Linked DNA regions of Coturnix japonica. The protein of the gene in region 4 binds, or shares a complex with, the protein of the main gene of each other region. Links are inferred from orthologs where the notes say so. Each region holds a gene or a part of one and is shown on either strand. Other genes may lie near its edges.

Region 1 (2,348 bases), on a different chromosome or scaffold from region 4:
GCAGGAGACAGTCCCTGTCCTCTCTCTGCACTGTTACATACCTGGCTGTGTGGCCAGTCCCCAGCATCAGCACACTGCAAAAGCACCTCAGTCTGCTCTGCTGTTGGCTGCGCCATGTGGAGAGCCGGGCTGTGACTGTTGTGTCAGCTGTTCCCAGCACACCCATGGCTGCGTGGTGCCGCAGGGCACTCCGGCTCTCCCTGGAGAGTGGAGCGTGTGGGCGTTTGGCACTGATCTCTCGCTCAGGTGGAGACTGTTTCAAGGAGAATGACCCCAGGCAGCGCTGCTCAGGTCTCTGTGCTGACAGGTGCCATGTGGCATTAGGATGTGCTGCTGAGCTGTGGGCTGTGTGCACGGCCCATCTCAGCGACCCTGGGCACTCCGTGTGCAGGGAGCCACCTCTGGTGAACCTCAGCCGTGCCCCTCCTGGCCTTGCTGGCTGCAGAGGCAGCACAGACAGGTTCCCAGCAGCTCTGCAATGTCTGGCATGCTAAAAATACATAAGCAGAGAGCCTTGGCGCGGTGTGGCGGCTCAAAGACCCGCATTCCTAGAGCGTGCAGCAGCAGTAACTGGAGAAGCAGCATTTGCTTCACATTGGCTGGAGACACAAAGGATGCAGGTTTCCTGCTCGGCTTTGCCGCTGCTTCCCTGGTGTCCTCCTGCTTGTGCTGCTCCATTCCTGGTCCCCTCAGTGGGTGATGGCGGTGCTCATGGATTCATGGACTCCGTCTTGCCAGGGAGCTCTGGTGATGAAGGCAGCAGCAGCCCCAGGCTTTCAGTCTGTGTGACAGGACAGTGGATTTGTCACCTACAAGCAGGTGCCGCAGCAGCAGACTAGGAAACACATTCCTGGGAAGGCGTCGAGGCGTCGCGCTCTCCCACAGCTGCTGGGGTCCCTGAATTCCTTTGCTCAGCTGCCTCCAGCCACCGGCGTCATCCTGGGGAGACTCTCCCTGTAATTCCCCTGGTGCTGTGGTGGCGGGGAGGTGCTGCAGGAGCAGGTGTTGCCATCCACCCCCCCTTGCAGCGAGGCAGGTGATGCTGATGGTGGGGCTCTGCTGCCATTCCTGCTCATGGTTTGGGAGGTCCCTGTGCTTTGCATTTGCCCAGGGCTCACTGTCCCTGGCAACGCTGGCTCCAGGGTGGTGACTGTCTGCCCAGCCATGTCTCAGTGCAAGCATCTGCTCAGTGTTCTGTGCCACATGCTCTGGCCTGCAGCGTGGCCCCAGGCTGATGTGCCCTTGGTGCCAGCAACCCAAGTCTAACGCATCTGTCTCCACTTGCAGGATGTGCTCAATTCTAAAAACGCCACCATTGAGGACCTGCAGTACCAGCTGGCCCGAGCCTGCAAGGTGAGGAAGGGGTCTGAGTCATGCTGTGTTCCTGGGGCTGGGGGAGCAGAAGGAAGAGCAGATGCCTTCCCTCCAGACCTTGAGCAGAGGCTGGCAGCTCTGTTTGGTGCCCTGGATTGCTGGCCCAGCCTGCAGTTTTCCCCATTCCCTCATTTCCCTGTGCAACAAGGCCTGTTGGGGGGCCCCCACCATTCAGGAGACTGCAGGGTGCCCATGTCCTGGCAGGGAGGGCCAGATTTTGGGGTGGCAGCCCAGAACATGGAGCATTTTTCTTCCAGGCACACAACGACATGCTGCAGACAATGGAGGCAAAGCTGACATCCTTTGGGATCCCGCTGGACAACCTGGGATTTAAACCCCTGGAGAGCCCAGTGGTGGGGCAGACAGTGGGGCAGGGCCCTGCAGGACTCGTGGCAGTGCCCACGTGACACCACGCAGCACCCACAGCTGCTCCCAGCAATCGACCCGAAGGAAAGCAAATATTTTCAGACTGGTGGTGCTGTTTGAGTCCTTTAATAGTATCAGTCAGATTCCCCGTGGCACTGGAGTGAGGATGTGCCTTGCCCTAACTGCCCCGGTACGTTGTGTAGGAGTAGGGGCTGATCAGCAGTGGGACGTGCAGCTTCTGGGCTGGGTCAGTGATGGTGAAGACGACCTGGGGGAGCGAAGGGAGGTGGCGGGTGGGTTAAAGTCGTGGCCAAAAGCAGCCCCTGCTCAGCCTGGAGCCTGGGCATCCCTGTAAGCAGTGCTGGCGGTGCAGCAGGAGCGGGGCTGAGGACTGAGGACACAGCACCCAACCCCCTGCAGCTCCTGCAGTGACCAGAGCTGGCTCCTGGCAGCGCCCCAGCCCCCTTGCTCAGCCCTTTGGTACCTCCACGAAGGGGTAGAAGCTGGTGTACCCCAGGCCCTGCCAGTAAGCCGCCGTCTCGAAGTGCAGTTTATAGGTGCCAGCCTCAGCCTGTCCAGGGGGCAGGAGGGGCAAACAGCGCCCATCT
Region 2 (3,500 bases), on a different chromosome or scaffold from region 4:
AGCTGTTGTGTCTTTCAATTGCTTGCTTGACAGAGCCACAGTGTGTGCATTTGTCTCAAAACACATTGAGAACTAGAATGAAACTAGGAAATTATGACCTGGAAAGTGTGTGTCAGAGGAAAGAAAAATAGCTTAACTGTGATTTGGGAAGGAAATTTTCACAAGGCTCCCAACTGTTTTGTTCTGGCCTCAAGCTACTGTTCTGCTGTGCTGACAAAGTGTCCTACAATGCTGTTACAAACAGGTTCCTCTGTCCAGTCAAGTCTGGATTGGAGAACAGTTGAGAGAGAAAACCTGACATCTGCTGGTACGGCTCAGACACTTCATCTGCCACGGCAGAGCCATGCTATGGCCTTTGGGTCAGTACCCAAGGTGCTTTTTTTGACTCCTTCCTTTTGTTGGGGAATCTGGGATATTTTGTTGTGCTCAGCTTACCTTGCTCCATCAGTCTGAGATGCATCTCAAGGTAACTTCGAGCTTGAAGAGCATGCTCAGCTCCACAAATGGGAGTCTGTATTGCTTTAAGCAGCTTTGTAGTTGTTTTTTTTTTTCTCAGGGTCCAACCGTGGGCCAAGGCTTTAGGAGTAGCTGTAGCAAAAAGGCCCAGTTTTTGTCTTGAGCTTTGATTTAACTCTCTGCAAATGTTGCCATTTTTCTCTGTGGTCCAACTCACTTCCATCTCTTTCTCTTCATTCAGCAAATCATGGAGCGTTTCCACAGAAACCTACAAAAGCCTGCTGATGAAGATGTAGCAGAACGTGTCTTTCTGCTCGAAGAAGATGTGATCCAGCTGATATACCACCTCAAGAATAAATACATCACAGCCTCAAAGAAGGACTTCTTCAAACCAGCAGAGAGCTATAGGAAGCAAAGTGAAATCATGACCCCAGATATGTGCGTCACATACCAGGTATGGAGAAAATCTACCTATATCAAGGTGCTTTTCTGGGTCATGGAGACACAAAGGATAGGTGTAATGTCAGTGGAAGCATGGCATGGCATATTCACGCTCAGCCTCTCCTCCATCTGCTTATCAGGTAGTTTATATGGCCACTGAGATCTTGCAAGATGCTGATTCAGCTGCTGCTTGTCTCAATCCTGCAAATTCGTTGCAGGGAAGTTGAAATTCCCTTTTCTGTTCTCTCTTTAAGAGACTATAGCAGAGAAGCAGAGCAGATTTTAACTCAAATTCTGCCATGGATCACAAAGCCTGGGTCACACTGTTGTTTAAATCACCCCCAGTTCACTCTGCAAATTCAGGCAAGGTACTGAGGCTTTCTTTATTGCTGATAGGTAGGTAGACAGATAGCCTTAAATAAAAGATATCCCCAAAAAGGAAAGTGCTGTCATTAGGCCAAATTCTCTCATTCATGGAGGGGTCACTTCATTAATGTCTCTGATGTGAGTTTGTAGTCAGAAGCTGATGTCTGCCTGTACATTGTGATGCTGCACAGTTACACATAGGAAATCAGGTTACAAAGATATAAACGCAACGAATATATATTTCTTAATTTATATTTCTGGTGTGGAGATGCAGTTGCTGGAGTGCTGTTGTTTCATCTCTAACCCTGTATAAACAGTCTCAGCCAAATAACAGGAACATCATCTAAGAGATGCAGGACATGCAATCTGGCTGACATTACTGATGGACTCAAAGTCTAGGTGAACTGCAGTCAACTATTGACAATGGGTTGGATGTTTTTATGGTGTAAAGCAGTGCCCTTATATTGACTTAGCAGAATGGTGCCAGTTCATATTTGCAAAGTACTTGGTCCCGTGCACCCAGACAACAATACTGCCTTTCACTAGCTTATCTGCTTCCAGGCGGGGTTCCCTGAGCAGCGCACAAAGCTGGTCCCCCTGTATAAATTGTTGCAAGAGCTAACAGAGGAAGAGAAGCGGATGAAGCAACAAGTCTGGAGATCTCAAGCAGAGGTAATAGGAAGCTGTCCTCACTGCTGTCAGGAGTGGAAACTGGTTTCATTTAACAGATTGCTGAAGCCTCATTCAGCTTAGGCTGTGATAAAAACAAAACTGTGGTGTTGTGAAGCTGGTCTGCATGCTGAATGACCAAGTTTGCAACCCATCCCTTGTTCAGTACAGGTCTTGTATATGGAGAGAGACACACTTTCCCAGTCTTGCTCTGTTTGTCCTCAGGGATGGAAATGGTTTCAGAGAGAAATAACAGCGTGTGAATTGAGGCATCCAGGAGTAGATCTGTTTGTTTTCTTGCCTGGGAATGAAACAAAAAAGAAAGGATGTCGTATGTAGTGTAATCTAATTGCAAGACATTTCCAGGAAACCATAACAATAATATCAAAGTTGTGGGGGTTTTTTGGTCGGAACAACTGTAGGGAAATAGTCCACAAAATACATTGCTTGTACTGTTACACTGTGACTGCTGTAACAAATTCACATTCTTAGAAGTTTCTGTCGTCACTTCAGGATAAATTCAGTCATTCCAGCAAGTGGAGACAGAGCTATTGGATTTGGTTGGGTTTTTAATTGTTTTTCTGTGGAGGAAAAACCCCCTGGGGAGGAACGCATAATAACAGCATGCAGGATATTCAGAATAGCTGAGAAAAAGCTTGCAATGTTCTTCAGAATTGTGAAGAGTGTAAACTGTGACCTCCTGAATTACCTCACCAGATTTCTTAGTCTTGATGTATTTGCAGACAAAACATCCCTGTTGTTTGTGCTGTGTATCCTGTAGAGACAAAGCAAAAAGCCAAAGCCGTCATCACAGTTTCAAAACTATCAGGTTGACTTAGCAGTATATGAACGTTATTCATAAAGGTCTGGGATATATTTAACCTTGTGTTACAGTTGTGGTACGCAAGCAGCTGCTCTGTTAGCATGTAGAAGTGCTGTCACTTAGTGGGGAAGCTGAGTTGTCTTTCTTCTGATTGTTTGGAAGGTGCTAAAGATTCTGGAGACCCGTGAGAGTGAAGAAGCAGACATTAAATTGTCAGCTTCAATATATGACACAGAGAGGAATGAAAAGAAAAGACAAGAGTACGAAGCCATGGTAGGTGGACTTTACTAATCCCAGTATTAATTACATGCATGCAAATTAATTAAATCCAGAGTAAGCGTTTTCTGTCTGACAAATTAGCTCTGAAGATCTTTTAGTGTTATTAAGAGTTATAAGTGTTATTAAATCCCTAGCAGGTACAAGCTGAAAATATAACATGGCCATGTTATGACCTTCTGGCTCTCTGGAAAACCCCACATGAGAGGAAAAAAATGATGTTGTTTTACTGTATTTAGATAACAACTTAATAACTAATCCTTGTTAATTATTTTAATAATAATAGGGATTGGGGGGGGGGAGGGGATAACGGAGTCCAAGCTGCATCGTTCTAGCCAGGTCTATTTTCACTAGGTCTATGTGCACATCTTTGCATGCTTCATTCCTCTATGAATCAGTTGGGGTTTATTTTGTTCTCATTATCACTTGCAAAGGCAATTTTGTTTCAGGGTCTCTCTCAGGGAATTAC
Region 3 (4,085 bases), on a different chromosome or scaffold from region 4:
AGCCAATGGTAGCTACGCAGCAGTCTCCTGACTCTGCCTTTTCCTTCCTCTCTTAGATCCTAATGAAGGTAGTGAACCAGCTTTGTGACAAGTCACCTGGCACATCAGTCCTGCTGCTCAGCCCTCAGGATTCTGGGGAGGTGCTCTGTGCCTGTCAGGTGTCCAAGGTAAGCAGAACCCTGGCAGAATCCCAGGGAAGCCTTCCTGCAGAGGAGGACTGGGTACACTACTCACTAGGTCCCAGCTGAATTTTTTCTTGGGTTTCTACCCAGTGTCACTGATGAGTTATGTTGAGGAATGACCCAAGATGACTGTACTGGGGCCAGATAATCTTTCAGTTTTTGCTGGGCACCAATATCCCTGGGTCATCCAAGACATGTTTGCCCAGTGGTAGGATGTAGAGCTAACACGTAAGCTCAGTCTCCTCTCAGTCATGTCTTCCCCAGGTAGCGAGGGTCCAGGCTGGGTGAGGGGAGAAAGATGTTCCTTCTTCCATGCTGCAGAGTGCTCCACAGACCAAAGTGTGTGTCTCTTCCCCAGAATTGCCTCCCCATGTTCTCCGCTGCTGACTGGGCCGTGGCTGTCTGTACACAGATGGAAGGCAAGGCAGGAGGTTCTCCTGTTGTCGCTAAGGGCAGTGGAAATGCCAAGGGCATGCAGGGAGCCCTGACTACTGCACTGGAATTTGCTCAGAGTAAACTCTGAAATGTGTGTGATGCTTTGGTGGCAGGACAGCTGTAAGCTGTGTGGATACTTGATGCAGAGTGCACGTTATACTGTGCAGAAGGTTTGACAATTCTCACAGTGAGCCCTGCTGCAACCACTGCATTGGAGCACTTGGTGTCTGGCCATCAGGGCTGAGCAGTGTCTGTTCCTGAAAGCACTGACAGAGCAACGCTGTATGTTCTCATCATGGGTATATGGTGATTGAGCCTCAGAAGGCACCAGCTTCTGGAACAGTGCAGTTCTTGCCACAAGACCAGCACTGGGAGGTTCTGAGAACATGACTGTCGTATCCCAAAGTTATTAAAGGATGGAGAGTGTTTGATCCCTCTAATGTTATGTTGGTGTTTTGTTTTTCTTCATATCCGCACCTTTTTCCCTGTAAGCCCAGAAAGCTTATATATGCTGTAAAAATAAATATATGCTGTAGTCTAAGCAGTCCCATCTTGCTAAAGGATACACCAGTCCCTGATAAAAATGCTACAGTAACTTAGAAATGGGAAGAGAAGTTCTTGCCTGTGTGCACAACCTTTTGCCTAGCCTATGCAATGGTTAGTATTGTAGTCAGGCCTTTTTGTTAAAGCACAAAGGGAACAGAATCATCCTGACCTCCACCTCTTTGCTCTGAGTGCACATTCTTACACATTTCTTACTTCTGCTCCTTTTTAAATCCTTTCCTCTCAGGTTGCTTCCTCAGACTTCCATTGTTAGAATGACGCCTGGAGTTCTTGGCCAGAAAACCTTTGTGTTACAAACTGGCCTAAATAGAGAGGTCATGGGTGGTAGCTGATAGGGAGGTGCAACTGGGTAGTGATACAGAAAGGCTTCACCCTGTGAGCAAGAACAGCAACCTGGCACAGATGAATTTCAGCAGCAGATAGGGCTGCCTGGTGTGGTGGAATTAGGAGGCAATAGCTACATGCTTTAGGGGGTGGGAAGAACAGTGATGTTAGTGGGTGAGGAGCAGAAAGAGGGTAGTTATGTTAGGATGTTTGATGCTATGGAGGAAGGGTACCCCCACAGTGGTGAGGCTGATGAGCTAGGAAGTGAATTTTTAGCAGATTTGGTAGACTGATACAATAAGCTTCTGGTAGCTGAGAGCAGACTGTTAGGTGGCCGAGGTAGGCAGGGTTCTAACAGTGCTGCATGGCTGGAACAGAACTGAGCTTCACGTGCATGACCCAGCAATAACCCTTTGGTCAGAGGGATACAGCAGTGCACTTGCACACAGCTGCTACTCTCAGCTTAGGTTTGTAGGGCAAGCTCAGCAGGCTGATATATTTGCCTGTTGCTCAGTTGTCACATAAATAAGGCAAAGTAAAGAAGATATAGTGGGAAATGACTGCTGTGAGCACGGCCTCCTCTCCTCAATGAACAACAGTTGACCCAGGGGAGAAAGGTGGTGGATTTAATTGTGTTTAGAGGATGAGGGATTTCCTTCCTCATCTCAGCAGCTGTCCAGTCCCAATTCTAAGACTTAGTGTCACTCCTACACGTCTTTTCTTAGTACCTGTGGCTGTGTAAAGAGCAGGAGCTCGCACTTGGTTAAGTGCCTGATATTGATATGAGGTTGGTGGTGCTCCATACTATCTTGCGTTTCACCATAGTGCTGACAGCCCCTACATCTGCAGCAAGAGGATAGACCTTCTCCTCCATTAATCATTACTTCCATCCAGGGAGTTTAAGGTAGAGCTTTTAGTAAAGGAGACAGCGAGCCGAGGTTCCTGGACATCAGGATGACTGGGACAGTTCACGCCATCGGTTAAAAATACTGTTAATGCCTGTTGTGGAACAGCTGCTGTGTTTCATCCCAGCCACAGCAGTACCAGGTATGGGGAAGGGAAAGGATGCTCTGTGTTACTGGGAAAATGCTTTTCTTGATTGCTTCCTCATTCATAAAAGCTGCTGCTAGAGATGATGCCTCCTCTTGGTACTGGAGAGTAGGTGTGTGAGGAGGAGGAGAGGCTGAGCTGCTTCTGCATCATGCTCCAAAAGCAGAGCCTGAGCTTGCCAATAGCAACCTTATGGATTTAACCTCCCTTTGTGCTTTTTTTGTTGTTTAATTTCAACTTTAAAACTACTGGCACCTTGTAAATTGTTGCCTCACCCCTTGATGTGCAGGGATCCGTGTGCTGACCTTCAAGGTAATGTCTCTGCAGGCAGAGAAAGTGCAAGTCAAGCCCCCACCAGTGTTCACCTGGCCAGCCAATGGCTGCTGCAGCAGTGACTTCCAGAGCAGTGGTGGTGTCCTCAGGGGCTTTTTGAAGGACTCCTCTCCACTGCAGGATCTGATGGGCTCTCAGCACTGGGGAAGGAGCCTGCTGAGATGAGTGGGCAGCAGTGACACAGCTTCATGGCTTCCTAGCTCTGCTATCCCCCTCCTGTATTCTATGGGAAGAGTGGCTCCCCAGATACAAGGTGGCAGAGCCAATCCCACCATGAGAAATAAACCCTGGGTGTCCTGAGCAGAGGCACTAAGGAAAAGTTTCCTCTTTCTGAGCCTGCAGGGATTTAGATGGGTCATCAACAAGGTTGCAGCACAACCAAGTTGTGATCTTGCTGTAACTCTGTAGCACAAAACCTGCTATGTAACCGAAAGAGAGAAAGCATCTCATCCTACCAAAGAGCAGCTGTGTGGAGGCACCGGTTTGGTAGCATGGGCTGCTGCAGTAGAAATGCTGGTTTCTGAGATGTGGCTGTGCTGGACCATCACTGATCCTAAAAGAATAAATTCCATGCTATTCTCCTAAATCCCAGTGTACAGGACTACATCCTCTTCCTGCCATTTTTATTCCACAAGACAACACGCATCCAATGCTACGGACATAGCCACCATCTTTCTGTATTTTAGCAGTAGGTAGAGCAGTGCTCAGCTAGGAGAGCTGGAGGGGATGAAACATGAGTTTTAAATATAGATCTCTCGCCAAAATAGCAGCTTGCATTCCCTTACTAGAGATCTAAGGTGCAAGCAGTTCTCTGTGCACGCGTTGCAACTCCAAACAGCACGGGCTGCATGCACACACACACACACAGGACAGTGAAAAGCAGGAACTAGTTAATAAGTGATGAGTTTTTTTTTGCTGTGAACAGGTGCTGTCAAGTAGGCAACTGCTCTGTAAGTCCAGATGGACCCCCAAGGTCCTTGAAGGGCGCATGTGAGTGCCGGCCCGAATTCCAGGCAGCTACCTGACTTTGTGTGAAGGACCAACCACACACATTAGGCCTTGCCTAGCTGGAAGAGCTGCACAGATGGGATGAGAGCTGGGGCTCTGCAGGCTACATAACCCTCTAGCCTAGCAGCCATGGGTCCCTGTCCTGCTCTCTGATAGAGCAGCAGACCCAGCACAGGGCTGGGGTTGCAG
Region 4 (4,080 bases):
ATTGAACGTCACCACCAAAAGCTGATGCAGCAATTTGTGCAAGAACAAGAGATAAAAATAGAACGGTTTAAGAAAGCAGCCGAAAGGTTTGAGAAATCCCTGGAGGTGATCAGCCGCAGAGGTGGAAAGTCGTCTGCCCCTGCTGCTGCCGGCCAGGCTGCGAGCACAGGGACTCAGCACAACGCTGCTGAGTGAGAAGGGATTGGGAAGAACATCTAGAGAGCTCCTCCTGCAGGCTGTGCTGCACTGAAAGCTGCGTTTTCCATCTACGTGCTTGGATTTTCAGCTCATCCTTCCTGAAAGCCAGCCTGCTATAACAATAAACAACACCGTCCCTTGCTGTCGGGTGTTCCTCCTTTTATATACATGAAGCTGATGTGGTGTGGGGGCACTGTCTGGGTAGCAGCGCAGGTGTAAAGGGGAAAAAAACCCTTCCAAAGGATTGCTTTCCTCTGAGGCAATAGAAAAGTAATGTAAAGCCAATAGAAGATATTTTGGGGCTTGTGTCTTTCCTTTTTGGAAAGGATGCAAAACGTGTGTCATGGCTGCTTGGATCAGAGAGTCCGAGGGTGTAAATGGATCCTTCACTGGGAAAAGGATTGGTAACTTAAGGCACACACAGGACAGACAGTAAATTGCTTCTTTCATGCTGGCATTGGAGATGGGCTGGTGTTTGCCTACATCAACTGGATGGAGTGGATCTAAGAAGTGTGCTGAAAAACAAGGAAGTGGCAACAAGCAAGTAATGCAGCACAGCTTTGGAGGAGCCTGGAGGTTGTTAGACTGGGGTGGCTTGCACTGGGTCTTCCTTGTTGGAAAACACTGGGAGAAATTGTCATTTTGTGAGCTTCTGAGTTTGATCTAGACACATGTGTGATCAAATAGTGCTTGTGTTGCATCCTTTGGCACGCTGGGTCTGGCTGATTCCCAGACCTGGTTGTGCAGAGTTTGCTGCAAGGGTTTCTGCTCATCAGAGCCTGGGAGACGCTGATCAAAATCACATGCTCTGATCTCAATGCCCTGACACCTCCATGCAGTTCTGCTGCCTGCATCCAACAGCAGAGGGTGCTGGTGGCTGAGGCTGGAGCCAAGGGCAGGATACATTCCAACATCAGCCAGCATTGACACCCAGCCCAGGACCCAGCTCCCACCTGTAACAGCGAGCAGACAGCATCTGGCCGGAGCTGTGTGTACAATTAATCCCTTCCTTCACCAAACAGGCTGCAGGGACACAAGGACCCGGGGCACCCTTTGCTTTCTATGGCACTCCGAGTGCCACCGCCCCTAAGATGGCCACACAGCTACGTCAAGGCCTCTCCTCGTTTTCTATTGAGTAATAGCGCTGCCCGTCAAGACAGCGAAGGCGCTGAGTGGTTCGAGTCGTGATGTGTGTCGGGAAAGAGCCCGCAACAAGCGGAATCCTAGCAACAGGGGGACTCCGGTGGCAGCACGGTCCGGCTCCATAGCGGCCTTCCTTCGGCTGGAGGCCGCACGGCGCTGCGAGCCCCCAACCACAGCCTTGGAGCACTGCAGAGATACAGCCTGATCTGCCACAGCTGCTGCTTAGGAGCTGGGAGCTCTCACCGCACCGGCTTCAAGGCCAGGAGCCCCTCATGTCCCCCCTCCCCACAGGGGTGCTCATGGCCCTGGGTGCTTGACAGCATGTGATATGACACCCCCCCCAGCACCCTAAGGACGCTGTTTCTCTCATATTCTCCTCACATTTTCCTTTTAGAGATCAAAACTAAAGAGGATTTTGCAGCAGAAGCAACAGTGGTCTCTCACTGTGGGCCTTGCCCCGTGTAGGAGATGCTGTGTCCCTTCTAGACGTGAAAACAATTCACTCCTAAGTGTTTAAGTGTGGCAGCAGGGAGCCCAGCTGTGCTCTGAGTATCAGTGCAGGACACGAAGGAAAGAAACAAGATCCTGATAATGGGAACAGAGGCTGCAGAGAAGGCGATGACCACAGTGGACTCCATGAAGGGCTTAGATCCACGCCGGTTGAAACCTAATTGCTTTGAGACAGAGAGAATCCTATCTGTCTTGGATGAGACCATCGCCAAGTTGGAGCTGAGCTCCTTGATCCCACTTATTATCGGCTCTCTGGACAGGTTTGCTGACCTGCTGGGACCTGAGATCACAACCAGCCTGATGGAGTACAAGAAGCTTTCAGACCAAATGGAGCTGCTGCTTGTTGCTGCTGAAGAAGGGGACATCTCAAAACAGGAGGAGCAAAGGGTTGCTCTCCATTTGCTGGAACAACAACTGAAATGTTCTGTTAGGAATATCCTCAGGCTCTTCTTGGCCGTCCCTTCACTTTGTAAGGCTCTGAAATATGAAGTCTGGGCAAGAGAGCCAGCAACTGAAGCATTTATCAAAGCCTTCAGGGAGTTCAGGAATTTTATGCTTGAGCGACTCCTGATTAGTCCCAAGGAAGAGGAAGAAACAGTTCAGCTGGTGGAAGACGTCTCCCTCCGGATCAACAAGAACACTGAAACCATCACAGCTTTGCAGGCAGAACTGGCAGCAGCAATCAGGACCCGAGATGAGGAGGTATATGAGAATGCTTGGTGACAAAGGGTCGCTGAAGCAAAAGCTGAAAAACAAGCCCTTTCTGACAGGTCCTAAAGGGGAGATTCCAGAAATGATTTCAAAATCGGATTCTAAATAGAATTTGGAAATGTTTCTTGAATGCTTCGTGTTGAAACTTGGCATGTTTTGAACCTGTTCTCACCAGCCAACTTCAATGGAGCAAGTTATTGAGCTTAAAAAGGAGCTGCAGGACAGGCACAAATGACTGCAGTAGTATTTTAGCAGGGCTGCCGTGCCAGCTGCCAGGGAGAGGCTCCATTCACTGCTGCTGACATGATGAACAGTCATTCCAGGGAGAGATTGTTCTGATTAAAATCAGTTTTTCATGCCAGCTCTACCTTCGCTCTTAAAACTAACATTTGTGAGACTTCCAACTCCAATACTGGCTACCTTGGAGATCTATAATGAATGTGTGATGACACCATTTCTTTTCCAGTGAAGGCAGCTGGATGGATTAGCTAATGGGCATTTCCCAGGTTCTTTTTGTGAGTCCATGAGCTGAGCCAGAATTCAAGTCCTGGATTCCTGACAAGCCATCCCTTGTTTTATGTGTGTGCTTGTCTTCTTTCTGCAGGAGGGCTCAGAGGGGAAGGTTTTGTCTCGTGCTCATTGCACCGAATGGTTCTGATGGAGATGAGGTCTGTGAATTGAGACACATGAGATTTTTACGTTCACTTTCTTACCAGTGCATAACAAGTGTGTTTCACTGCCCCCAGCTGAGGATCTCTCTTGCTGGCAGCCCCTCTGAGCTGTGTCCTCCAGGCAGTCAATCCAAGCCTCACCTGAAGCCAAAGGGATGATCTTGGCTCCTCTTGAGACAAGGCCGGCTTCTTTACCCTGCAGTGTCAGTGAGTCTCAGTACAGCCTGGTCATTCTATGGCTTTATTCTCAGGTTCAAGCACCTTGCATAAATCTGACTCTGTTCCCTCATCTGGTCGTGCCAGGTCCCTGTTCTTAGATCACCTCCACCTTTGCGACTGTGTCTTTTTCCTCCTGACCACTTTATGCTTCACCTGCACACCCTATTGACATTTCCTTCTGGTTTTCTGTGTCTAGATCCAGAACAAGGACAATATGATCAAAGATCTCAAGAACAGCATGGAAACTGTAGATGAATGCAGCAAGGACAACCTCCTGCAGATCAAGTTGGAAGGTGAAAAACAGCAGAAAGAGGAGCTGCGAGCTTCCCAGGCTAAGTGTGCCAGGCTACAGCAGGACATTCAGCAGCTGGAGGAACAGCTCAATAAGCTGATCCTGGAGCATCGAGTATCAGAGCTGGCTCTCAGGAAGGTAAATGGTCAGAACTGTTGTAGAGCTGCTTGGTGTGGCTGCAAGTGTCTATTTTGTTCCTACCATTTCCTGGCAGGATGCACACGCTGTTTGTCAGAATATACCTGTGCTGTCCTCGTGCTCTGCTGATTTCAGCAGAAAGGAAGCCTGCAGTGCTGCTGGGGAAGTCGCCTGCTCACAGTTCCTCCTCTTGTTCCC
Region 5 (3,712 bases), on a different chromosome or scaffold from region 4:
AGTGTCAGAGCAGGGGCTGCCCCCTCAGTTAAGTGAAGCAGGACATTGCACCCCGCCTGCTGCCTGGGCTCCCCACGTGGCTGTTGCAGACAGGGTGGTGGGTGCAGCTGTGGCACATCAGCTGTCTTTTTCCATGGCTGCTTCCCTCTGTAGGAGGGTGTTCAGAGCTATTCTGTCTATGTGCTGACACTCTGCAGTACTGTGGGAATGGAAACCCGCGTGCTTTGACTGCCCTCATGTTTACACTGCAAACCATCAGCAGTTTTCCCCTGACTCGACCTAATGCTGCCACTGACACCGGGGCGAGCGCTGCCTGAGCCCAGATGTGGGTGACCTGCCTTCCTGCCCCACTGGGAGCCACAGCAAACCCCATTGCTTCAGCCAGCACCGTGCTGTGCGGGACTGCGGAGCAGGTTCTCAGGGCAGAGCGTCTCGTGCTGCTGAGTTACTGCGCCATTAGCAGAATTGCTCACTAGCTGTATAAAAAACTTCAGAGGATATCGTGTTTCTCACTGTTTTAATGCAGTTTCCGTTTCTACTGAGGAAAAGGTGTTCTTGCTGTACAAAGACTGCTCGGGGTCTGAAGTTACAGGAGCTTCACCTTAACTGTGCGTCATGAACTCTGTTCTCCAGAACAGCCCGAGTTCTATTCCACGGTTTATTTTGTGCTGCTGGACACAGACAGCAGTGCCTTACCCAGCAGCAGCCCCAGAGTACATCCAAGTCCAGGTTTCTTAGCGCGTCTTTTTCTTTGCTCCGGGCTTTTCCTTTGTGCCTTTCTGATCTACCTGCTCATTGTCTTGAGCCTTTGGCAGGTTCTGATAGGGGCCGAGGTTTCTGCGGACCATTGTACCTTTCCACCAGGCCTGCAGCTGGAAGCAGGAGAGAGAGAGGTGTCAGAGGGAACCTGGACAGAGAATGGACAGAGCATCCCTCCTGTAACTCCTCAGCTGCAGGACGGAACCTCTGGCCCATGCAGCAGCAGCTGGGCCTACGTGTCCATGTGTAAGCCAAGGGCATCTGTAGAGGTGGCAAGAGGAAGGGAGCAGCTCTGTAACTCCATTCCTGTGTCACCCATGCAGAGGGGCTGCTGTGATGAGCACAGCTCCACATCATCCCTCAGACTGGCTTTTTGTCTTTTGTTTCCTTCTTAACCCTTCTGCAGTTCACTGCAGCCTTTGTCTTTGCTGCAGGAGAAGGAACAAGTTTAATCTGTCCCTCGCTTGCGCCACCTCACACCAGCCAACTTTCTCAGGCCATTTTCTGCTTGAACAAAGCCTGTGGTGCAAATAACTCCAAGCTGCTGGTGGAGCAGCACTGCCTCAGCTTTGCTCCCCCTTTTACCTTCAGGATGCTCTTCAACTCCAGCTCATCCTGCTCTCGTTTTCGTCTTTCAGCCTCTCTTCGTGCCCGGTCAGCAATGATGGTTTCCTCAAATGTCCAGCACTGCAAAGTGGCACAGGAGTTCAGCAGTCACATGAAAAACACATCCAGGGAGCACTGGGAGCCCCGCGGCAGCCCACGGCTAATGGGTAAACACAGACCTTCCTCCCCCACCTCCTTTATTTGATCTTCCCTGAATCCAGATGGCAAATGTTGCTCATTACCACCACCAGTCCTAAGGCACCGAGAGGTGCTGCCAAAGTGAAACCGCTCATGGCCTGTGTCTAATTAACCTTCTGATCCTGTGCTGTGAAATGGCTGGTTGGTGGGGTCTCGAGCAACAGATGTTAGTAGGAAGGATCCACGTTCCCCCAGGACAGGTAGCAGATGATGAGTGAAAACACTTGGGGCACTGAGATGACAGCAAACGGAGTGAAAATGGAGCCCACAGGCAGGGGAACATCTAACTCAGTCTCAGCCTCTCAGAGCAGTGACAGTAAGGAATGCCTACAAGTGAATTTCTTCTGACCCCCCTTTTTCTACACACTTTGCTGCCTGTTCTGCTCTGGCAGTGCATCTGCAGTCAGAGTCCTGCAGTTAATGGTTTTCTAACTACATGCATTAATTACATCATCCATCCCTGATGTCACAGGTGATGTCACACCTTCCCAGAACTTCAAGTCCCATCCAATACCTCACGACTGCTGTTTTTTCCCCATGGCTTTCATTCCTTATCAGAATGATGGTATGAAAAAGGCAGGATGCGGTTCTGCAGGGGCCAGCACTGAGCTGCTGCTGTCTTACCTCACTGGCAAATTTCTGCAGCATTTCCAAGTTCTTTGCCTTTGATTCTTTTAGGTCGTCGAGTTCTTTATCTTTAGCGTCTGTGTCGTTTTCATACTTTTCCATCCAGTATTCCAGCTTCTCTTGCACCTTCTGCAATGGGACAGAGTGGGGCTTAGCAGGGTACAAAGAGTGGCAAGGGAAAGGTTTACTGCTGCGACATGCCTGCGCTCAGGATGGGGCTAAGAATGCCATCAAATGTGCACAGTTTGTTTCCTTCTCACCTAAGCCTTGGCAGGATCACAGTGCTAGGAGTAACAATGCTGGGGACCACCATGAGGGCAGCAGCACTGGTCTGGGTCTGAAGAATGGCAGCGCACGGGGGGTTACATTTGTGCACAATCCTGGTGAAGTAAATGACAACCAGGAGCCATTCTTTGTGTGTGTGCACAGGGAGAAGAGTTCAGGAGATGGAGTTTCACAGTCAGAAAGCTTTTATCCTGCACGTGTCTCTCTGGCCACTTTCTGGATTAAACTCAGTGCACCAGGAATGAGGTCCCAAGGGAGAGCAGGTTGTGCTTTCTCAGGTTGTGCTTTCTCAGGTTGTGAACTTGGCTTTGTTTCTCACATCAATAGGACGGCAGGTGTTTCTGAAAGCACCATGCTGCTGATTTCCTCCTGTTCATGACTGATTTCGCCATAGCAACAGCCATCGCTGCTTGAATGGAGGAATAATATGAGGAAAAGCATCAGTGCTGTGACAGCATCACAGCTGGACACACAAGGGAGATGGGGGCGAGGTCATCTTCTGTGTGGGCCACTGCGAGGCCACCAGCTGCTGTCAGTGCAGAGAGGCTGCTGCTCAGGTAGCCCACTCGCCTTGAAACACCAATCAAATGTGGTTCTGGGATATAGAGGAAGTCCCAGTTACCGCCAGAGATGGCTTAAACAAAATCCACATTGAGCTGAATGTGGCTGTTTGAGGGAAGGGAAACCTGTAACTTTGGCATAAGCAATGCTAGTCGTTGTATGAGCAGTAATTTTAAGGCAGTGTATCCGAATGTATCCGAACTGATCTAGTAAAGGTGTATGTTTGGTGGCCCTGCCAGGCAGGGGGTTGGAACTACATGATCCTTGAGGTCCCTTCCAACCCAGGTCGTTCTGTGATTCTGTGAATGTGGCAAATCACAAATATGGGACAGCTGGGTTCATTAAGGGCTTGAGGGTAAGCAGGAATCCAACCAGCAACGATCAGGAACCCGGTTGGGTTGATGGAGCAATAATTGGTTTTCTTTAGAAATGAATCAATGTGATGTTTATCTGTTGCCAGTTGAAGCATTAACAGGGAAAGTCACCCAGACCTTGTGGGAATGCCTCAGGAAGTTTTCAGCCTCCACGTGCACTCGGATCTCCTCGTCAGTTTTCCTCTTCAAATCCTATGATCAATGCAGACAGAAAATGTTAGACAGCGTTGGTGCAAATACGTGTGCACAACATGCGTGCTGGTTGGATTCCTGATGCATTCAAACATCTGCGTTGTGATGGG
Region 6 (3,500 bases), on a different chromosome or scaffold from region 4:
CTGTCCTCCTCCAGGAGCTGAAAAACAAAGATGAGCAATACGTGCAAACCATTAAGAAGCAGTCAGATGACATCCACCTGCTTTTGGAGAGAATGGAGGAGCAGACCAGGATGATGTTACGAACTTACCGTCACAATATCCATCAGATTGAGGTAGCCAGTTCATTCGGTAGAAGTAGAGTTCAGGGAGAAAGACTGCAGCTGTTCCCTTCTCCATATCTGTTGCCAAAAGGCCTCAGCCTCTTTCCACCAGCTGGGTTGATTACTGTCCAGAGCAGAGAGCTGATGTCTTGATGAATGAAGCTCAAATCTGGCCAATCAAGAGCACTGAATGATGCTGGGTGCTGAGGGGCTGCTTTATACGATGCTGTGGATGACTTTGGTTCAGCACAGAGAAACATGGTAACATTTGAAAGCTATTGCTCTTTCATGGCTGGTTAATTGTCTTGCTAAAAGCCAAGAAGGAGCCTTGTTGGTCATAATTCTTACCTTCTGCAGAGCATGGAAAGTCACAAATCAGTGTTGTTGAGCGAGGGTTCAATATCAGACAATGATTTCCATTGAATTCACAGAGCTGCCACCAAAAGCAGCTCTCATGGGTTAGGGTGACTTACAGCTGTCCCAGTGGGCTCACAATGTCAGATCTCTGCCATTGAGAGGAGACATCAGGCCTGTGTGTATGTTCATTAGACAGGAGCAGCTGTCAGTCCTCTCCTGGTGTGGACTAGAACGAGGCTGGCAAATTGAGGTGCCACTGTGATGGTAAATGGCTCTGTCTCCTTGGCAGAAAACTTTTGAGCACGAACGGCGAGAGCTGCTGGACAACAACAGGAAGAAGTGGGAGGAGGCCATCCAGGACCTCAACACAAAAGAGGTAAAGTCCCCATGAGATTTATAAACTCTGATGGTGGCTGCTTGTTTAGGTGCATGGTGGGCAGAGGGGCAGGTATTTCAGCCTGTTTTGCCAGGGAATAATCCATGCATGACCTTGCTTAGTGCTGGCAGAGGGAGCTGTGATCATGGGAGGAAGCTGTCACCTCTGATGGATGATATTCTTCTTTTGCCCTTAGCTGGAATACCTACATTCCCGTGTGAGCAAGATAGAAGAGTTTGAGAAAGAGCTGAATCAGCTGCGACTGCGGGATGAGGAGGAGTATAACAGCATGAAGATTCATCTGGAGAATGATGTGCAGGTACAGAAAGGGCTGGTGTGTGCCATGTGGTGTGACAGTTGAGCAGACCACCCTGGTTTGTTCATTGCTCTGGAGGGCAGCTGGATGGTGTGTCTGGTATCTGATCACCTCAGCTCTTCAGCATGCACAATCCAGCTCCATGCCAACAGCATGATGGAGCTTTTAGTCTCTCCTCTCAGTGGGATCCACAGCACAGTATCAATGTGCCTTTGGCTTCTAAGCGGTCTGTAGCAGCTCTAGGATCTATGAAGCAGCTGGGAGTGTTGAGGGTTTTGCTTCTTCAGAAGTCAAGTTTGGTAGGAGGATCAAATAGTGTGAGTGTTTTGACACCAGATCATTTCAGATCAGACTAACTGCCTCCCTTGCAAAAGTCCGTGGCCTAGGAGGTTTGAGTTTTTGCCTCTGACATCTAGCCCTGGGCTCATGATTTCTCTAGTAGCCATGAAGTCATAGAATCATAGAATGGCCTGGACTGAAAAGGACCACAATGATCATCCATTTTCAGCCCCCCTGCTATGTGCATGGTTGCCAACCACCAAACCAAACTGCTCAGAGCCACGTCCAGCCTGGCCTTGAATGCCTCCACTTCTGCTTCCTTGGCTAAGCAGAGGACACAACCACAGCTGACACCTTCCCTGCTTGTTGTTATTTGTTGTTTCCCATGCTGCATGGTACAAACAGATTTGCATTTGACTTAGTAAGGCTCATTGCTTATTGTGGTTTCACCCAGCAGGCAGCTCAGCACCACACAGCTGTTCACTCACTTCCCTTCAGTGGGGTGGGAGAAGGAATCAGGAAAAGGTGAAACTTGTGATTGGCATAAAGACAGTTTAATAGAACAGAAAAAGAAGGGGAGATAATAATAATAAAGAACATACAAAGCAAGTGGTGCACAATGCAGTTGCTCACTACTCCCTTATCCCCTCCACTTTTGTTGCTGAGCATGATGCCATTTGGTATGGGATATCCCTTCAGTGATTTTGGGTCAACTGTCCTGGTTCTTTTCCCTTCCAACACCTTGTGAACCCCTATTCTCCTCACTGTCCATGTGGGCAGCAACAAGAAGCAGAAAAGTCCTTGGCTCTGTGTAAGCACTGCTCTGCAACAACAACAACATCAATGTGTTATCAGAATTCTTTTCCTCCTAAATCCATAACATGGCACCATGCCAGACACTACAGAGAAAATTCACTCTGTCTCAGCCAAAACTAGGGCAGTCCCACATGATGTTTTCCTAGGAGGCCTGGGGAAATACAAGCTAGGAGCCGTGTCTGCAAGGTTTTGCAACACAAACAGCAGGTGAAACATTGCTGTCGCAAGGTCCCTGTCCACTTGATAGAGCAATTCCAAGGGGACAGTTCAGATTCTGTGACTTCATATTGATAACTCGGGCTGATATAGATTGTGTAACGTTCACAAATGTTTCTGAGCCATTTAGGGTGGGAGAAATGTGCCTGGGAAGCTGGGTTTGGAGTTACAGGTTTGGAGTTACTTACATTACTGAGTTATAGTCAGGCTTCTCTGTGTCCTTTGCTTACAGCACAGCTTCTTTCCATGTTTTCTGAATTGACAGAACCTGGAGAGGCAGATCCAGCATATGAAAGCTGTCTATTTGATCAACCAGGAGAAGCTGGAATACAACCTTCAGGTGCTTAGGAAGCAAGATGAGGAGAACACCATCATCAGGGCACAACAAAAGAGGAAGCTCAACCGGTAAAAAACCATCCCTGGAAAACGAACAGGCTCTGCTTTACCTGCTGCCATCTCCTAACATACCATTTGTTTTTGTGGAAACCATCACTAGCACAGGATTGAGCTCTGACCTGCCCCATCCCTGGGCAGGGGGAGAGTTTAGTCCAGGGCAGCACCATCCCCAGAACAGTTTGAATAATCTGGCAGTGACCAAACTGTGCCAACTAGGTGGGATTCAGTCAGGTCTTGGTGCTGGTCACTAGCAGATGGGTAGCTCCAACTCCCAAAGCCTTCATACATGTGAGATTTGCCCTAAAGTGCCTCTTTGGGAATCCCCAGCTTTGCTATCCCTCTCCAGGCTCAACAGCTTACTCAGTAATCTGAGAAAAAAACTGGTCAAACAAGAGAAGCAGTTCAGAGAGGAGAACCAGAGTCTTGTAGCTGAGTGCGAGCGCATCAACGGACGATGCAAGGATGTGCAGAGAAAGATGAGGTGGGCTGTGTTTGGAGGCCTGGCCATCCATCTGTGATGAGGCTTCAGAGCATTTGAATGACATACAGAGGGGGGCTGACTCATTTATGGACACAAAAGCTGCTTCTATGGGCTTTCTTTCTC
Region 7 (3,481 bases), on a different chromosome or scaffold from region 4:
GAGATTTTAGTTCAAAATGATGTAGTCTACATAAAATTGCATTGTACTATTGGTACAAATAATATCAGCTTATAATAATGAATTGTGGTAATGTCTAGCTATTGTATTTTTAGTGTGAATCAGAATTATTTTGCTATTTCAACTCTGAAAATATTTTATGTACAAACAAGGTCCCAGCCATTACTTTATCTGAGTTGCAGTTGCTGAGAAGCAGTTTGTTAAAGCGTATTTTTAATAAGTTGTATAAATCAGCTTCATGTTCATGTCTCAAAGTGTCTGCCAGGTACAGCTGAATATACACAACTGGCACTCTGCTGGTCTAAAACATTTGCTGATCTACAAGTCTGGAGAAAGAAAGCTGTCCATTATTCAAAAGTACATACAAATCTTTGGATGTACACAGGAACTTGTGCTCTTTTGATATTTTGCACTAAAAAGCAATCTTACCTATAGGGAGTTTTAAAGGTAGTAGCCAAGGGTTTAGGGAGACTTAGTCTTGTCCATAACCCAGAAACTATTCTGTATACAGAGCTCTTTTGGTGTTCTACACATGAAATAGCTATGGGATTTCCCTCAACTGTCTCACAACATCCTGATGTATGGGACGCTGGGGCTGTGTTGAATCCTTGTGCCCATGCCTGGAAAGGGACCAATCGGTGTTTGGTTCCTGCATGCTGGCACAAGTGCATTGCCTTCCCAGTCTTCTGCACCTTTGCCTTCTTTGGCCTTCATTGCCCATTTCTGGCTTCACGCTGGTGTTCAACACTTCACAAAGCAATGCCTTTCTGCCCTGGGCTCTCTCCTCTTCCTCCACCCCATCCACACAAACACACACACAAAAACACACACTTTTCCCAGGCTAGCTCAGGCTTGTCAAGACTCACATTTATCTTTTGGTGCCATGTTTATAGTTCACTTTTTCAAGTGCACTTGAGATCTGAATCACAAAGAACTGTGTTTTTAAGATAGAAAAAGACTGAAGTGGGTCTGGATGAAACAACCAAGCATTTTAAAAAGAAAGCTGTGAAATCAGGTGCGCTTAGACACACATATGCACCTACTGCTGCTTTCTCTGTGAAACTGTTGCCTTTCGTCAATAGACTGTCAAAGTCCCACTAGGTGATCTGTTGCTTAGCTACCGGCCTACCTGGACAAAACTTTGTTTTCTTGATTTGGCAATTTTCTGTTCCCTGCATTTGCTATGTGGAGTGATTCAGCAACTATTGATTCCTGCTAACTCACTCAGACAGCTCAGGCATGCAAAAGCAACTCATTTGGCTCCTTAGCACAAGGAGAATCAAACAGAAATACAATGAAGAACACAAGGGGTGAAGATATGGGAAGTTCCATGAAGTCAAACTGGAATTAAATGTTTCATAGACAAACTAGAAAGTAGGTTTTCCCTCTCTAGAACTCATACTTTATTGTTTCAGAATAATGCAACAGCCTTACAAACTTTAACTCTTTTCTGATTCAACGGTTTCAGCTTCAGGCCTATTCCAGAAGATGTTCTTCTACATGCGTTTGAGGTCTGTAACTAAGTATTCAGGTACCTAATTGCTGGGGAAAAAAGTAGCTGATTCTTGATGTAATACGATTAGAAGCACAACAGTTTTATCCCTTTTATTTAAAGGCTTTAGATGAGAATAAAAATGGATACATTACTAAAGAGGAGCTGGTAAAACATATGACTGAAGAAGGTAATATGATTTTTATAATATTTCTGTTTATGTAAATAAATATTACATATATGTATGGCACCTTGTGGTCCTAATTCTTCAAGCTAAAACTTGCAGGAGTCTTCAAGCAATCTTGTTGCCTTTATGAGTGTCTTACAGACTAGAACATTTCCCTGGTGAACAATGTAGGGAAAGAACATGTATCTGCCTTTTTGCAGATATTGTAAGATCTTATTGTTATGGAGTCATAGTTTAGTCTTGTGTGAATATTTTGTGATTCTGTGCACATTTATGTGCTTCATAAAGATGTGACTCCTTTTCTCCTCACTCTAAAACTTCAGTTTAGATTTCCAAATGTTTCAGGTAATTTCAGTACTCATTCATTCTTGCATTATCTTGATCTTAATTCTAGTGTCCTGTGCAAACAAGGAGATTCAAAGACCAGATTTAAGTTGTATATAGTGTAATTCTCAGTATCCCATGAAGAGCCTGCTTTTCTTGCATGGCTGATTCATACCTGCCTGCCTCAAGTAGCAAATGACAAGCATGCCGTGTTCAAAACTGGGTGTTTTGGAGCTTGTGAACTAAATGTGGATCAAAAGATCCAAGCCCTGTCTTCTTTCTTGGACTAGCTGGCTTGGCATTGAGGACTTCTGCATTTGTAGAAGTGAAGGAATTGGATTCTTTTTTCCTTCACATAAGCCCTGAAAAAATATCCTTGCAAGAGAGAAGTAGTAATTTGTCAGCCCTGAAAAGAATAATTACCAAGAAAAAGCATTACTTTCCTTTCTTTTTCAGGTGAACCGTTTACTGAGGAAGAAATGGAGGAGATGCTTTCCAGTGCTATAGATCCAAAAACAGATGCTGTTCATTACAGAGACTACATTTTAAAGTTGTTAGTAGAAGATGCTGATGATCTCCCACAGTAGACTCTGAGGTGCCTTGTGGTAACAGCAGTGTAGCTTAGCAGTTGGCTGAAATTTCAAGTACAACAAAACACAGTGTGTGACCTTGCACTTATAATTAAAATAAAATCTGTGTAGTTTTATTTCCTTAGTTTCTGTATATATTTTGAAATCTATTCACACTTAGCATAAGAGTTCTTGACAGAAATATTGTGTGAGATCTGGAAAAGGAATCATGGAATTTGGTTTGAAAAATAATGGAGTCAAGAAATGACTTTACAGTTGTTGCTGCAAGATTAACAGAAAAATGAGACCTGGGAAAACAAATGCTCAGTGAGTATTTTAAGATGACTGAATTGTGAGGGCATGCTACTATGATAAAACTTTTGTATTTAAATGTGATCCCTGTTTGTGTTTTAACTAATGAGGCATTGATTGGAATACTGTGTCCAGTTCTGGGCTCCCCAGTACAAAAAAGACAGGGATCTCTTGGAAAGAGTCCAGCGGAGGGCCACAAAGATGGTGAAGGGCCTGGGGCATCTCCCCTATGAGGAGAGACTTAGGGAACTGGGTCTGTTTAGCCTTGACAAAAGAAGGCTGAGAGGGGACTTGATCCAGGCTTATAAATACCTGAGGTGTGGGAGCCATAGTGGTGAGGCTGGTCTCTTTTCAGTAGTGTGTGGGGACAGGACTAGGGGTAATGGGATGAAAGTACAGCATAGGAAGTTCTGCACGAATGTGTGGAAGAACTTCTTTACAGTGAGGGTGACGGAGCACTGGAACAGGCTGCCCAGGGAGGTGGTGGAGTCTCCTTCTCTGGAGATATTCAAGACCCGCCTGGATGCCTACCTGTGTGACGTGGTGTAGGGAGCCTGCTTTGGCAGGGGGGTTGGACTC

Evidence for each region.
Region 1: IQCD (region 4) and GAS8 share a complex: the UniProt entries of both Homo sapiens proteins name them as parts of the nexin-dynein regulatory complex. The link is inferred for Coturnix japonica from reciprocal best matches to the Homo sapiens genes DRC10 and DRC4.
Region 2: IQCD (region 4) and DRC7 share a complex: the UniProt entries of both Homo sapiens proteins name them as parts of the nexin-dynein regulatory complex. The link is inferred for Coturnix japonica from reciprocal best matches to the Homo sapiens genes DRC10 and DRC7.
Region 3: IQCD (region 4) and TCTE1 share a complex: the UniProt entries of both Homo sapiens proteins name them as parts of the nexin-dynein regulatory complex. The link is inferred for Coturnix japonica from reciprocal best matches to the Homo sapiens genes DRC10 and DRC5.
Region 5: IQCD (region 4) and IQCG share a complex: the UniProt entries of both Homo sapiens proteins name them as parts of the nexin-dynein regulatory complex. The link is inferred for Coturnix japonica from reciprocal best matches to the Homo sapiens genes DRC10 and DRC9.
Region 6: IQCD (region 4) and DRC1 share a complex: the UniProt entries of both Homo sapiens proteins name them as parts of the nexin-dynein regulatory complex. The link is inferred for Coturnix japonica from reciprocal best matches to the Homo sapiens genes DRC10 and DRC1.
Region 7: IQCD (region 4) and EFCAB2 share a complex: the UniProt entries of both Homo sapiens proteins name them as parts of the nexin-dynein regulatory complex. The link is inferred for Coturnix japonica from reciprocal best matches to the Homo sapiens genes DRC10 and DRC8.

Annotation. Positions count from the first base shown.
Region 1 is NC_029526.1:16,813,775-16,816,122, forward strand, and holds the end of GAS8 (dynein regulatory complex subunit 4), read left to right. Parts: intron 1-1,287; coding exon 1,288-1,353; intron 1,354-1,631; coding exon 1,632-1,781; 3' UTR 1,782-1,848; downstream 1,849-2,348. Other genes in the region: 5-hydroxyisourate hydrolase-like, read right to left, coding at 1,919-2,008, 2,225-2,348. UniProt on the Homo sapiens protein: Component of the nexin-dynein regulatory complex (N-DRC), a key regulator of ciliary/flagellar motility which maintains the alignment and integrity of the distal axoneme and regulates microtubule sliding in motile axonemes.
Region 2 is NC_029526.1:1,949,762-1,953,261, forward strand, and holds part of DRC7 (dynein regulatory complex subunit 7), read left to right. Parts: intron 1-540; exon of another isoform or gene 541-697; coding exon 698-910; exon of another isoform or gene 911-1,824; coding exon 1,825-1,935; exon of another isoform or gene 1,936-2,233; intron 2,234-2,641; exon of another isoform or gene 2,642-2,767; intron 2,768-2,917; coding exon 2,918-3,028; intron 3,029-3,500. UniProt on the Homo sapiens protein: Component of the nexin-dynein regulatory complex (N-DRC) a key regulator of ciliary/flagellar motility which maintains the alignment and integrity of the distal axoneme and regulates microtubule sliding in motile axonemes.
Region 3 is NC_029518.1:27,141,813-27,145,897, forward strand, and holds the start of TCTE1 (dynein regulatory complex subunit 5), read left to right. Parts: upstream 1-1,285; 5' UTR 1,286-4,085. Other genes in the region: AARS2 (alanine--tRNA ligase, mitochondrial), read left to right, coding at 57-167, 541-705. UniProt on the Homo sapiens protein: Component of the nexin-dynein regulatory complex (N-DRC) a key regulator of ciliary/flagellar motility which maintains the alignment and integrity of the distal axoneme and regulates microtubule sliding in motile axonemes.
Region 4 is NC_029530.1:9,594,600-9,598,679, reverse strand, and holds the start of IQCD (dynein regulatory complex protein 10), read left to right. Parts: upstream 1-1,280; 5' UTR 1,281-1,932; coding exon 1,933-2,553; intron 2,554-3,648; coding exon 3,649-3,882; intron 3,883-4,080. UniProt on the Homo sapiens protein: Component of the nexin-dynein regulatory complex (N-DRC), a key regulator of ciliary/flagellar motility which maintains the alignment and integrity of the distal axoneme and regulates microtubule sliding in motile axonemes.
Region 5 is NC_029524.1:13,164,054-13,167,765, forward strand, and holds the end of IQCG (dynein regulatory complex protein 9), read right to left. Parts: intron 3,603-3,712; coding exon 3,528-3,602; intron 2,320-3,527; coding exon 2,188-2,319; intron 1,447-2,187; coding exon 1,345-1,446; intron 873-1,344; coding exon 735-872; 3' UTR 501-734; downstream 1-500. UniProt on the Homo sapiens protein: Component of the nexin-dynein regulatory complex (N-DRC), a key regulator of ciliary/flagellar motility which maintains the alignment and integrity of the distal axoneme and regulates microtubule sliding in motile axonemes.
Region 6 is NC_029518.1:96,158,169-96,161,668, forward strand, and holds part of DRC1 (dynein regulatory complex protein 1), read left to right. Parts: intron 1-14; coding exon 15-152; intron 153-786; coding exon 787-873; intron 874-1,069; coding exon 1,070-1,192; intron 1,193-2,765; coding exon 2,766-2,905; intron 2,906-3,242; coding exon 3,243-3,377; intron 3,378-3,500. UniProt on the Homo sapiens protein: Component of the nexin-dynein regulatory complex (N-DRC) a key regulator of ciliary/flagellar motility which maintains the alignment and integrity of the distal axoneme and regulates microtubule sliding in motile axonemes.
Region 7 is NC_029518.1:31,158,854-31,162,334, reverse strand, and holds the end of EFCAB2 (dynein regulatory complex protein 8), read left to right. Parts: intron 1-1,486; coding exon 1,487-1,529; intron 1,530-1,633; coding exon 1,634-1,700; intron 1,701-2,477; coding exon 2,478-2,608; 3' UTR 2,609-2,981; downstream 2,982-3,481. UniProt on the Homo sapiens protein: Component of the nexin-dynein regulatory complex (N-DRC), a key regulator of ciliary/flagellar motility which maintains the alignment and integrity of the distal axoneme and regulates microtubule sliding in motile axonemes.